Mytilus edulis: one gene and its partner. The protein of the gene in region 2 interacts with the protein of the main gene of each other region in a biochemical or structural test. Links are inferred from orthologs where the notes say so. Each region holds a gene or a part of one and is shown on either strand. Other genes may lie near its edges.

Region 1 (7,505 bases), on a different chromosome or scaffold from region 2:
TTTAAAGGTCCCAGTAAATAAACTCCACTGAGAACAATTATACCTTATCGTATTCTTTCAATGGGACAGTTCATTGATCGAAAAATTAAAATTGACACCTGGTAAAGCTACTCAAAATCAGGAAAAGATTCAATTCTTAAAGATGCAATAATTTATATAATAATACAAAATGTACAAAGAACTGTTATCATATCATTCTAAAAAATGTACCTACTGTTGAGAATTGTATTCTTTCAACATGTTCAATGGGACAGTTCATTGTTCATGTTGTTCCAAAAATTTAAATTGACACAGGTATATAAAGTTACTGAAAATGCGGAAATGTCCCATATAAATTTAAAAGTTCATGTTTATTGTTAAGCTGCACACCTTAAATCTAAATAAATTTTAGTTTTTTATAATTATAATATAGAATAGAATATTTTTATACACCAAATTAGGGCTCAGAAGGGCATATTATACTACTGGCATATATATATAATTACAAACAATATTATTAAAATAGATCTATAAACAATAACATATGCAATATACATGTAACATGTGTAATAAAAACAACATATATATATATACATGTACTACAGAAAATACACACAACGCCTGCGTCCTAGGTTTTTTTTTAAATTGCCTTGCCAGATGTCATAATTATTTGAACTAGTATAATGCCTAAAGGTATAAATTCATGATCATTTATGTATGCATGTTTGTATACATCATTAGTCATGATTACATGTCATTATAAATAAGGTGCACAGATACACTAGACTGCAAAGTGCTAAAATTATACAGAATATAAAGGGAAAAATATATAACACAACTATAAACATTAAAAAAAAATTTGGGGGCAATAATTTCACCTGTGCAATGTGCGGGAAAAAGCGTTCAACAACGTCAACGTGTTCACCATATTCGCTTAAAGTTATCGCTTAAAATATAATGATTTTCAATGTGTGATTTGATTTGCATCAATTTTACCTTATTAACTAGTTTTATTAAAGATTCGTCTGACATCTTCACACTGTTACTTTTATAAGCTCCACAAGGCTATCAACATGGAAATCCGCGAAAATTATAATGACCGGAAGCTTCTATATTCCGTAAACTGGATCCCTCACCTGTACATTCTCTCGACAGAGATGCGGCGATGTGCACAGTACCCAGGTCACATGCAATATTAACCTTGACGAGATGCTACACGCCCTACAAATGTTTTAGTGAATATTGGAATGTAAAAATTGAAATTTAAAGATAGAAAAATAAATAATACTTTTATACATAAAATAATTACATTTTTTTTATACTGATTTCAGACAAATCACTAATCTCTAAAAGTAACAAATTAGAATGTGATGCTTTCTACATGTTTTTGTGACTGAGGTGATGGGCAAAGATTATTTATCATATTTTTTCATTTTCATTGAGTCAATTAAAATTTTCTATACTTTTAGCCTTTGTTATTTTTTTTTTTATAAAAACTCGTCTAATGGAAGCGTTTTTCCTGCAATACAAAAAAAAAATGTTTCAAAAGTTCATTATTAGACCACTTTCGAGTTCATCCGTCACCGGCAAAAACTCGTCAATTATGCACGCCTTTATGACGTCACTTACCAGATAGAGGGGCTCGCCTGTATCCCTGCACTATTTACGTTCATCAAGCGTCTTAGTGATCGTCTTTGTGCAGGATAACCTAGAAATAACGGTTGCTCTGTAGGTACTTACTGACAATTCCCTAATGACAGCAGTGTTGATTGTCAATTTTGAGAATTCAATTTGCCGAATAATTCGTACAATATAGAATTATAGTTTTCCAACCACTCGCTCAACATTGGAAGGAAGTGACGACGCCCCTAAACGCAAAAATGACGGTGATAAAGGCGCGTATAATTGACGAGTTTTTTCCGGTGACGGAAGAACTCGAAAGTGGTCTGAGACTACTATAACACATGTGTTATAGTAGTCTCAGTGCAGGTGTAACCCGGCGGAGGGTTTTTTACGTTCTGCATATTTTCTGTGTCAATTTTTACATATTTTACCCCAGACCGTGTAGTTTAAACATATTTATTCATTGTGGATTGGGAAACAAGTTATAAATACAACTTATATAAATCCCTCTCCACTGTGTAAAGAGTAGGTATCGGAATCATGAGTCTCTGGTCCTTCATATGTGGCTTTGTAGGACTTAACACTATCAAGTTTTCATAGTTTATCAATAAATTACAATTTAGCAAATATCAACAATAATGAAAATATAAAAGTATTCAAATGTAAATAAGTTAAAACTCACATAAAAGTGACAAAATATGGTGAGATCCAGGGGCGGATGCAGGAATTTTCGAAAGGGGGGTGCTAACCCAGGGCAAAGGGGGGGTGCCGGGGGGGGGGGGGGTGCAAAACATATGTCCCGATACAAATGCATTGATCGGCAAAAATAAAGGGGGTGCGCACCCCCGGACCCCCCCCCCCCCCCCCCTGGATCCGCCACTGAGATCTGTGCAAGACCAGCAAGACTGAAGATAGACATTTTGTTCTATAAATAACAATGTCATCTTTCAGTCAGTGGTAAGCTAGGTCTGTGCAAGACCATCAAGCTTGACTGACTGGCTATACAGCTCTTGCACGGTCAGCCAACGTGGGTCAGCCATTTAACAACAACAAATGGAAGCTTTTAACGACCTTGACTGGCTATACAGCCCTTGCACGGTCGGTATTTCATTTTCAAGCCGGGAAGTAATGTTGTTTCAAAAATAGGCTCTCCGCCACACAGGACTGACACAACCGGTTTTCCATAGGGATTTTTATGTGTCTCCCCAAGGATGCATAACTAACATATAATATACGTCCTTTGTCTCCCTTTTTCTATTAACAAATTATGATCACTTAATCTTAATTTAGTGATACTACGTCTATTTTCAAATATATAAGAATTCAGATATGTTTCTATTAAAGTTACTTTGTTTTAATGTTTTATATAATAGAAGTTTACTGTTATTGTGTATTTTCTCAAATGTATGTTTAGTATAATTTTCCTTTTTAACTTTTAATTCATGCAGTTTTAAGTGTTTTTATTTGGATTAGATTATTCAGGGACTTTCTATAAAGTTAGTGTAGAAAGTCCCGCTGGATTCTTACACTCCTCAATATGCTTAAAATCTACATTTGCTTCCTTTGCAATGTTTTGTATACGTAAACCATGTATAACATCCTGCATGCAGAGTCTAGATTCTTTGATACAGTGAAAGCTTCACACAATAAGGGACTATACAATTATTTAGAAGTCTTGTTAAATATAGTAAACTTTGGACCTTTATTTTCAATGTTAATGGATAGCGACTCAGTTCATTCTTTTCTTACTGCAGAATTTGATGCATTCTTTCGGTTCCCGAAATATTTTTACAAAATGATAAATGAAGTTTTTCAAAACAAATTTTATCAGTAAAATCAGGAAAGTCAATTTCTTTATGAGATACATTTGCCCTCTTGACAGCTCTATATAATGTTATATATGATATATATACTATGTATCCATAAAAATAACCTCTGAATTATATGTAGCAATTGGCTTCACCATAGTATTAAACAAACTACATATGCTATATAATGTATAAGTACTTTCTTATATGATCTTATATTACGGATTTTTTCTCAGCAGTGGGAGTTAATTCCCTGACCGTGAGTATTATTTAAAGTTTTATCTTGCAGATTATATGCAGGCAAAATTTTGATGTTTGTGATAAAAAATTCTCTAATCGACGATGTTGAAATTAGTAGGAGTAATTGAAATAACAATACTTTCAAGAGTGTTTTTTTTTTTTTAAGAAAAGAGGGGCGCAGTTGGTTCCCATAGGAGTGCTTATTGATTTGCGAAAAACATGTCCTCCAAACGTAACAAATATGTTGTCAATCAAGATATCAAACATCTTGATAATGTCATTTTCAGCTGAGAAGTTTATGTTTGAATCAGAATGATTTATTTTTGAAGTAGATAGGATTTATTGACAATTCCTCCCTAATTAGTCTAGATAAGATACTTTTAAAAGATGTAGTTATATGTCTCTGAAATAACATTTTCGTTTTTTTTTGTGTTAATTTTTTAAGTTCAGCTAGAAACTGATAGATATTCAGATAAATTTTGTTTTACTTTCTTTAGGTGTTCATTAAAAATTGCAATGCGCTTTTTATACTTAAATGAAGGATTTGTTAAGTAAGACACATACCGTGAGGTATACAAATCCTTGCTCGAATTAATCACCTACTAGTAACTGTATAGTAGCATTATAAATTTGAAATTTTTCTATAAATCAACCTAAAGTTACTAAAAAAAATTAAAAATTTTGCACACTATTAAGAAGTTATACAGTTTTATAAATTGTGTTAAACAATAAAAAAAAAATACTCTGTTTAAAATGCTATCGTTGGATAACAATATTACAATGGGTGCTCCACAAAGACTGGGTGCTCCAATAGAATGGAGGAACATTAACTGTAAAATGAAAATGAAATTGTGAACTGGGAACCAGAACCACTTTCGTTTTTGCGCAGCACGTGTGGAAATAACCGGCTAACCGGCATCTAGAACAATCGACCTGAAAAGCTATTCAAGGACATTCTCTGGTCAGTTTTATGTAAATTTCATATTCCAAAATGTCATTGAAAACATTGTACAACCTCTCAAAACAAATCAGCAGCAACGTTTTAAGGTGTAACCGATATACTTATAATATCCGGTCAAGTTCAGCACGACCAGGACATCCTGAACAGTTTCATTTTTCAAGAAGAAAATATTGTACGGTAAATCACAAAGAAAACCCCAAAGATTGCACCAAACTGCATGTTTTCATTTATAATTATTTTTTGATTGTTTATGCATGTTGGTACAGTTACATGTATGCAAAATACGAATTATTTCAACCTCTGTATAAAAATTATCTAAGATATTAAATTATTTGAAATTTATCATGTTTAATATAGGGTTTCCTTTTTGAAAATTATATTTTAAAGCGTCTGAAGACAATTTCCACTGTTTTCTTAGTCCAAAAATAGTAATAACACCTTGACAATCTGTTTTTATTTATTCCTGTGACTGGCATCACAAAAAATGTCATAATTATCAGTGGGGGATCCAGAACTTTTTGTATAAACTAAGGGGGGGCTGCTCCAGCCATGCTTCAGTGATTCCCTATATAATCAACCAAATTTTTCAAACAAAAGAGAGGAACCCAGGGCCCACCTTGATCCGTCTATGATTATATGGACTAAATTGATCTGTTTTCTATACACAGGCACTTGTTTCTATCCATGGGAGCTATCCATGAGAAGACCATATATCAACGTAAATATATGTTGATACAGATAGTGGGTCTTTCTATGGACTAAAACAAGTGCCTGTGTTTCTATATCTTACAAATGTATCTTTGATCCTTTTGAGTATAAGTTCCTCGATTTTCATTAAATTATCTACAACATAATTAGTACAAATAATTATGACGTCTTGGAAGGCTATTTTAAATTTTTGCTTTGACACCTAAAAAATATGAGCTGTTAAAAAAACTAGTGTGTATGTATCTGTACATTTCCTGTTTCAGTCCATATGCTCCAGTCATCACAATCAGCTAGGACTTGCCAAGTGCTGCAAAAGTTACTAGTCATTGACTCATTGTCCCTGCTCTATAAATATCCTAGTGAGAACATTTAGAGCCATGTTTTACAGCCTTTCATACAGGGTTATACGCTTAAAGCATTGGCGCATTTATTTTCCCCTGACAATAGTCAATATCTCACGATCAGGTGAACACCTTAAGAAACAAGTGTGGTTAGTAAATCTATCGGTCTGGCAGAGTCCCAGGGTCCAACTGACCTTGATCTTTGGTAAAGTTTTCATTAAACATTCAGTAGAACCTTCATTAAACATGTTAAAAAGACTTAAGCATATAAATGGGGCACACTCATGAAAGCAGGCAATTTTTTCGGCATGTGAACTCTTGTTTCACCCTATATTGTTTAGATTTGTCCACATTCTAGTGTTTGTGTAGAACAAATAATAAAAGAAAAGAATCTTTTAGTGGCAGAAATGTAAGAACTCTGCTTATTATGTCTTCTCCGTGACATATTTATGTACTAAATACTTAGTCTTTAAACTGTTAATCTTTATATGAAAAAAGAAAACTCATTATGAGATTGAATCTTGCATCATAATTTTGCAGCTGCTTCTTTTGAATTGTTTTCAGGAGGAAATTAATCTCAAGTAAGTAGATTTGTTTGGTTCTGCTTTGCTTAATAGCTTTGCTTTGCACTGCTTTGACATGCAGAAGTTACAAGGTAATCACATCGAAAATCACTTTACTTAATAGTAAATGTGGATGATAGTTCCTGTTTTTTTCTCTCTGAATTTATGGGCATGCATAATCAATTTGACGCTAACGATAGCTGTAAATGGCTGTTTGACGCCTGACGGTAAAGGGCATTACTATCTTATATCTATTTAAAAACTAGAAAAATTGAGTTTCAGTTTTGAAAACAAAAGTTTATGGCCAAGAAAAGTTGTTTATCTTCAATTAATAGATAATCTCTCCAAAAAGAGGAACAGGCAAAAAATAACAAACTACACATGCTCCAGATGAAGATTTTTTTTTTTGATATTAGATATTTGATAATATCTCATAAATAATGATGAAAATCATAATTTAATTCCTAGTTTTGGTCATATGGTTTTGAAAATGCTAAATATTTGATACTTTTCCATTATATGGGATATATTCTATTCAACAAGATTAGTTCTCTGTTACTTATAAATGAATTCTAATATATATATATATACTGGTAGATATTTGCTGCTTAGCTTTGGATATATATCATGTGTGTTACATTTATATATATGTACATGTACTATTATTATACCTTACATATATTTTAAACAATTCTATTGGGTGAAACGTTGTCACGTGACATGGAATAATTCAGTTGTTTTTCATTCAATTGCAAGGAAGGACGAATAACCCTAAAAATTTCCACCAGCGGTGAATAACCCTATTATTCACCGGCGAATAACCTTTTGAGATTGTTGATTTGTACTTGAGTTATCTCCCATGATTATGACGTCACAGACGTAAATAAACAAAATGGCAGCGTTCACGTTACAGTTGAAGCTCACCGAGAGACGAAGCAGAAAAAGGAAATAAGGCATTAGACATGAATAGAGTGACAGCAGCTGATGATAGCTCTTATAGAGTAACGGTCCTTTTCAGGGCCATCAATATTTTACAAAAAGATTCTACTTTTGTTGTACAATTTAGAAATTCTAGAACACAAATGTATTTTCATCTGACGTCAACTTGTCTTTGACTTTGTTATGTAAAACATATAGAAAGTGTTCGAAAGGCCTTTCCACTGTTAGTTCGGTATAATAAATCAATTGTGGCCCCTTAGAATCGATGAATATCCAAAATTGTCAACCCTTGAAAGTTATTTCACTTCGGGCTGCGCCCTCATTGAAATAACCTTCTCGTGTT
Region 2 (6,962 bases):
TAATGGAGGTTTCCATATGGCCTAACGTAAAACTTAGTTTACGCTTCGTTCAAGAGAGGGACATACTAAACGAAGAAAAAGCTTCCCAAAGCACTGGCTTGCTCAACCTACTAATATTCATTGAAGAGCCCTATTTCAAGGCAATTTTCCTCCATCCAATGAGAATATTTCATGATAAATGTTTTGCGTGTTAAAATTTTGGCATTTTAAATAGAATTACATCTCATTTTTTAAACGTTTTTATGGGGAAATCACATTTTATAAACGTTTTTATCGGGGGGGATCAAATGAAAATAGTAAACTATTATGGGGGAATCAAGAAAATTGTATATGTTTGATTTCAAAATGACCAGCCCCCTTCCAGGTAAAAAAGTATTTTTTGGTATTATATTGATTCACACATAGGGTCTTTTCACTGGAAATAAACACATTTATTCTAAAACCAGCTGTTGTCATGATACGGGTTATGTTCTTCTCATATATTTTATGATAGTATGATACTGAACCCTTAACGGAAGGGACTGTGCTTGATTTTCATATGATGAAGACAGTTTAATTCAGGTCCGTAACTGCTATAGTAGTCTTTTGTTATTTTATGTATCATTGTCATTTTGCTAATTTTCTTTTGTTACCTATTCTGACATCGGACTCGGACTTCTTTTGAACGAGTTTTACTGTGCGCATTGCTGTGTGTTTCTTTATTCTAAATTGGCTGAAGGTATAGGGGAGAGATGAAATTTCACAAAACATGTTGAATCCCAGCGCATTTTAGCACCTGTCTCAAGTCAGGATCCTCTGGCCATTGTTAGTCTTGTATGGTTTTTTAATTTTAGTTAATCAATATGTTTGGAGTTTAGTATGATACTGAACACTAGTACACATTTTAGAGACCAGATGAGGCCCACCTCTATGTGCAGGATTTCCCCCCTGCGTTTAAGAGCAATTGATGGCTAACGACTGTTACCCGCTTTTCGGTCGGGTTGTTGTCTCTTAGACATATTCCATTCGAAATTCAGTCATAATATTTAAAATAAGATGTGGTTTGATTGCCAATAAGACAACTCTCCACAAAAGAAAAAAATGACACAAAAAATAACTACTATAATTCACCAGTACGGTCTTCAACAATGAACAAATCCCATACCGAATAGTCAGCTATAAAAGGCCCCGAATTGACAATGTAAAAAAAATCAAACGAAAAAACTATCGGCCTTATTTATATAAAAAATGAACGAAAAACAAATATGTAACACATAAACAAACGACAACCACTGAATTACAGGCACCTGACTTGGGACAGGCATATACATACATAATGTGGCGGGGTTAAACATGTTAGCGGGATCCCAACCCTCCCCCTAACCTAAGCCAGTGGTATAACAGTACAACATAAGAACGAACTATAAGAATCAGTTAAAAAAGGCTTAACTCATCAGATGAACAAAAATTCAAGTAAAATTGCCAATAAGACATATTTTCACAAAAGACCAAATGACACAGAAATTAACAACTATAGGTCACTGTACGGCTTCAGTCAACAATGAGCAAATCCAATACCGCATAGTCAGTTATAATAGACCCTGAAATAACAAATGTAAAACAATTCTAACAAGAAAACTTACAGCGTAATTTATGTACAAAAATGATCGAAAAACAAATATGTAACACAGCAACAAACGAAAACCACTGAATTACAGGCTCATGACTTTGGGTAAGCACATACACACAGAATGTGGCGGAGGTTAAACGTGTTAGCGGGATTTTGAACCTTCCTGTTAACCTGGGACAGTGGTGTAACAGTACAACATAAGAACGAACTATACAAATCAGTTCAAAAAGACTTATCTAACAAAATGGATACAACTGATGCAAACATTAATACATCTAACAAAAACACAGAGTGGATGTGGCCAGGTACTTGTACATCTTAACAACAAAGAGACAATAAGTACAGATCTAAGAGTACACACAGTTACTGTCAGCTAGTTCAAAACCCCCTAACCACCAATTAAAAAAATCATGCATCTAAAACTAAATTATCAATCAGTACACATCCAACATACAATGGATTTAGTGAAAAGAAGTCATAAACAATCATGTCTATCATCTTTCAGATAAAAATTGTTTTCTTTTGGTTCGGCCTGGGACTCATACATTGAACGCCTTCCTACAATGCAAACATTTTCTAAATCATGAAAATTGATGGTAATTTTCCAATTGTCGTTATTAACCAGTCTCCCTTTCCGCTAATAATTCCAAGAGAACTAGACTAATTACCGGGTTTGGATATACTAACTGGAACAACACGACGGGTGTCACATGTGGAGCAGATTTACTTACCTTCCGGAGCAACATCAATTTTTTGTAAGGTTTGTGCTGCTCGGTCTAGTTTTCTGTGTTTTTGTACTATTGCTTGTCTGTTTTCCTTTTTTGTTAAAGCCATGGTGTTGTCATTTTATTTGTAACTGAAGAGTTTGGATATCAATATCTTTCGTTTCTCTTTCGTATCATGAAAATGCATTCAACAGCTACATGTAGTGCTGAATAACATTTTGATTCCATAAATATGCTGTGTAGTCTACCTGTTACCTGTTGTTAATGGGTATTCACGAATTCGGAATTAAAAATGTATTATATAAATTATATACTTCTGCATAACAAAGGATTTTCATATTACTGCTTTTAAAATCATTGACTTAATAAATTATAAAGAAAGATCGAAGTGTTATCAATTTCCAGTACAAAAGAGCCGCACATCATTTGAAAAAAAAACCCTGTTGTATAACTAAATAAATGTATACGTTTTCGTATTGACAGTCATGCTATTTATCAAAGGGATGGATTGGTTATCAGGACTATAAAATAAAGAAGCGAAAAATGGGCAAACAAAAATTACAGAGAAACATGGCTAATGAAAATAAAAGAATATAAATAATGAAGATCATCCTTTTTTTTTATCGATAATGGTTATCACGGGGATATAATTTGTTTGTCCTGCTAACCGTTTGACTCTTGCAGTTTGTGATATAAAATTCTTCTTCGTACCAAGGAATTGTTTATATAATATCCTATATATATATACAACAATTGTTCGTGCAAAAGTATTTGAATGAGGTGTGAAAAATGAAAATATAGAGGGCAAATTCAAAATAATAAAGAGAATGCCCCCCCCCCCTCTTTTTTTGCTCATAAAAATATGAAAAAAGGATTGGCATGCAATAAAGAAGAATAGTTAAAATGGAAAAAAAAACAATTAATTGAGAAAAATATCCTAAAAATGAATCCAGAAATGAACAAAATCCCTTGTCCATCAAGACCCTCAGACTAACAACCTAATTCTACGTACAGTTTTGTTTTCCCATAATAATATCAGTCTTTCAAATAGTTGTAAAAATATTACGGCATCAACAAAGAAAATATCAATAAATTCCAGTTATATTACTGTGCTTACAAGTCAATTAGTTGTTTCTGCTAATCATGCTAATGTTACATGTAACCAAAAAATAATAAGCAAGTTGATTGGTTTTATTGCAGATAAATTGTATACTCCATTTATCTCCCTTTTCTTATGTATAATTATTTTTTACAATGTTATAGTTTGAATGCATATTTTTATATATTTTCCAGTCGTAATTTATGAAACACTCCTTTGTTACACATTTGTTAATAAATGGTGCCTTGGGTATTTACCCTAATCGATAGATCAAACAAAACATTGTGTATTGCAAAGTATGTCAATGATTAGTGGGTCAGTAGGTTTTCTACACACAAGGTTGACCTTTGACATAGCTTTATCAGGTTAGAATATTTTCGTATCTTCGTAAAAATGGAAACATTCTTACAGTTTAATATTGTATAAATATCATGATTTAGCCATAAGTGTTAAATAAATATTTTTAAGTGTGAAAGGCTGGAGATTTTAGATATCTCCCCACATTGATTGGTCAGCGGAAGGATATCAAATCAGGAAGCCGCCATAGCGAAATAGCGACATACAAAATGTAAACTGAAATTTGTGTCATTTATTGAATTTTGTCGTTTTGTTTACATGTAATAATGTATTGTTATCATCAATGAATTTATTTTTGTTCAGAAAATGCAGTGACAAGGATATTAACATTCGCTGATTGAGTCGAAAGACCTGTTGACAATTTTTCTTGATTTCAAGTTTCAACTGTTTTTGTGAAAATGGATTTTTTAAAAGGTCTTGTCAGTAAAAACAAGAGACGGCACAAAGTCGACGGATTCGATCTAGATCTAACATGTATCCTTTTTACAGTAAAGAGTTTGTAATAGGTATGAAGTGTATCACATAAAGTTGTGCAGCTAAATACATGTACATGTATGCTGCCCCCATTTTTTTTTAATGTATGAAAAAACGAACGAAGAGGGACAACAAACATATGCTTTTATTGTTAATGATATCTAAAGGGGCCAACTGAGAGTTATTTACACAGATTTTTAGTATCGATCAACAGAACAATATGAAGATCCTACATATCGTTATTTTGGATTCTGAGAGAAACTAACTTGACCAGGTTGATGGCGATCCTTATAATTGTCCTTTATAGTGCTTCCCTTTACCTTAAATTATCAACATGTGCAATCGCTCTGTTATTGTAGTTTTACAGCTATGATACATGTGTATAACTTATCAGTGACATCACAATGTTGGAGAAGTTATCCATGACTTTACAATCTGAGAAGAGGGTTTATAAGGAATCTTTTTGGTGGAACGCTTTCGGCCTTTCAATTTCATGTGTTTAGGCATTTTATTTCTCGTTTTCTTGTGTTTGATTCAATGTGCGTGCTTCATTTTTCCACTTATTTATTTTCCGTGTTTTTGTCTATTCAAAGTTGACAGGTACATCAAACTACATGTACTTCAAAGTTGGCCTGGATATTGTAAATATATGGTATAAAAGTCTATGAAATTACTATGAATAATCTTTTTTTCAAATCAGTTGCAACTAACAGACGCTACAAGTAAACTGGTCCGCCGTTCTATCTATAGCTTCGCACCGAAGGAACAGGTTGGAGCTATTGTCACATTGGCATTAATTGGACGAGTCGTACAAATTCAACGATTCGCTAATAAAATTGGCCAATTAAAGTGATAGGAATTGACCTCAAATGTTACTACTGCGATGCCGCAGTATACACAAGTATCTGTTAATTAACCCCATGGTGGTACTGGCAGATAAATGACCAACGAGCGTGTTAACATGTTCTTGACAAACTGAGCCGGTATCTTTCATTCCCTAAAGAACTCAGTAGGGTTATAAATGTGCTAATTTCTCTTTGATTTGCTATCAGTATAATACATAATCAAACATAGCACATGATGTACTAGTCTTGTCAAATTATTAAATCCCGTGGTCAGAATTCTGACCACGGGATTTAGGCCATACCTGTTGTCAGTGTAGCGATAAGTGAACACAACAGGGGTCCAGTTTACGCTACAAGGTGACTGCAGGGTCTTTATTTCTATAAACAATGACTGCATAATCTCCTAGAAAGGCTGAGTAATAATTTTCAATACTTTTTTCATTAATACTTACAATTTTATTTCTTGTGCTTTGTTTTTCCCCGATTTTTAATTTCTTTTCAACTTTTTTGTGATTTTTATTCCATGTTTTTCTGTATTCAAAACCCACCTTTACCATGTTTACCACCCTCCGAAAAAATGTTATGATCAACACACTTTTATCATATGAGGGTAATAGAACCTTTTTACATCAGGCTTCAAACGGTCATTTTCGGCTACGGTTTAAACAATCAAATAGGTTAAAATTTTATTGTGATTCATCAATATATCTGGATTGTGATTTGTCAGAGTTCTGAAATAATTATCACAAGTAGCATCATTTTTTGAAAAAAAAGAATGTGATGCCTTAAAATCAGTCAATTTTTATTTTATTGTTGAAAAAGAAATTGTATATTTTATCATCATGCGCAAAAAATTACTGTTAACATCAATTTTCAAGAATTTTTATTGTTATACGTTATGAAGGCACCCATATTACTATCTTGTTTTATAATGATCAAAAGGAGGGTGAAAAGACCAGAAGTAGCATGATTAACAGGTCATCAGGTTTCCAAACCAACATTATTTGGCAGTCATTCTGTATCTTCTTATTTACATTTAAAATCCACCATTTTCTACATTTGAAAATGTCTGTACCAAGTCAGGAATATGACAGTTCTTGTCCATTCGTTTTTGATGCGTTTTGTTATTTGATTTTGCCATGTGATTATGGACTTTCCTAATTGATTTTCCTCTGAGTTCAGTATTTTTGTGATTTTACCTTTTAACTATTTTTCATAAGTAAAAAATCCTTAATTTTAGTTCAACTCCTTTAGCACAATCTTGGGCGATACATGTACCCCAACCCCTATTTAACAATATAATACCCAATTCGGTACTGATTGACAGTAATAATGGTAATGAGTTTAGGAAGTCACAGGTTCAAACCACAGCTGGGTCAAACCAAACTCCAAAGACTTTAAATTGGCATTTGCTGCTATTCCGCTAAGCCATGTAAGCAGTGTGGCAGATTAAAGCATGGTCAAGTACGAAGCAGGGTTAATATTTATGTTATATTATCCAGGACTAGCATATTCTGGTCCTAAATTTGCGGCTGGATAATAAGCATATGCAGCCTTCCACCTTTATTAAAAGAGGCCTAGGCCAATACAGTTAGCTATCAAAATGAACTGAATCTATACAAATTATCTTCCCTGATAATGAAACCCTGAAGTATGGTGTATGCTCCAAAGAAATCATCAAATTATCAAGGACTGTTGGACAAGAAGGTAACTCCTTACCATTTATCATTTTTATTACCGGTAACTGAAAATTTTCCTATCAAAACTTCCAACATTATTAGCATCTGCATCTACATGTAGCTTCTTTGAATTGTCTTTTTCAGAAAAAATGTGATTTGAAAAAACATAAAAAA

The links. The genes of interacting proteins can lie anywhere in the genome.
Region 1: the proteins of phosphatidylinositol 3,4,5-trisphosphate 3-phosphatase and dual-specificity protein phosphatase PTEN-like (region 2) and peroxiredoxin-1-like form a complex in vitro, tested with the Homo sapiens proteins (2 studies listed by BioGRID and IntAct). The link is inferred for Mytilus edulis from reciprocal best matches to the Homo sapiens genes PTEN and PRDX1.

What each region holds. Positions count from the first base shown.
Region 1 is NC_092344.1:55,541,854-55,549,358, forward strand, and holds the start of peroxiredoxin-1-like, read left to right. Parts: upstream 1-4,478; 5' UTR 4,479-4,641; coding exon 4,642-4,788; intron 4,789-6,224; exon of another isoform or gene 6,225-6,241; intron 6,242-7,505. Other genes in the region: uncharacterized protein, read right to left, coding at 976-1,011. UniProt on the Homo sapiens protein: Thiol-specific peroxidase that catalyzes the reduction of hydrogen peroxide and organic hydroperoxides to water and alcohols, respectively.
Region 2 is NC_092352.1:74,135,693-74,142,654, forward strand, and holds the start of phosphatidylinositol 3,4,5-trisphosphate 3-phosphatase and dual-specificity protein phosphatase PTEN-like, read left to right. Parts: upstream 1-3,946; 5' UTR 3,947-4,188; coding exon 4,189-4,264; intron 4,265-6,962. UniProt on the Homo sapiens protein: Dual-specificity protein phosphatase, dephosphorylating tyrosine-, serine- and threonine-phosphorylated proteins.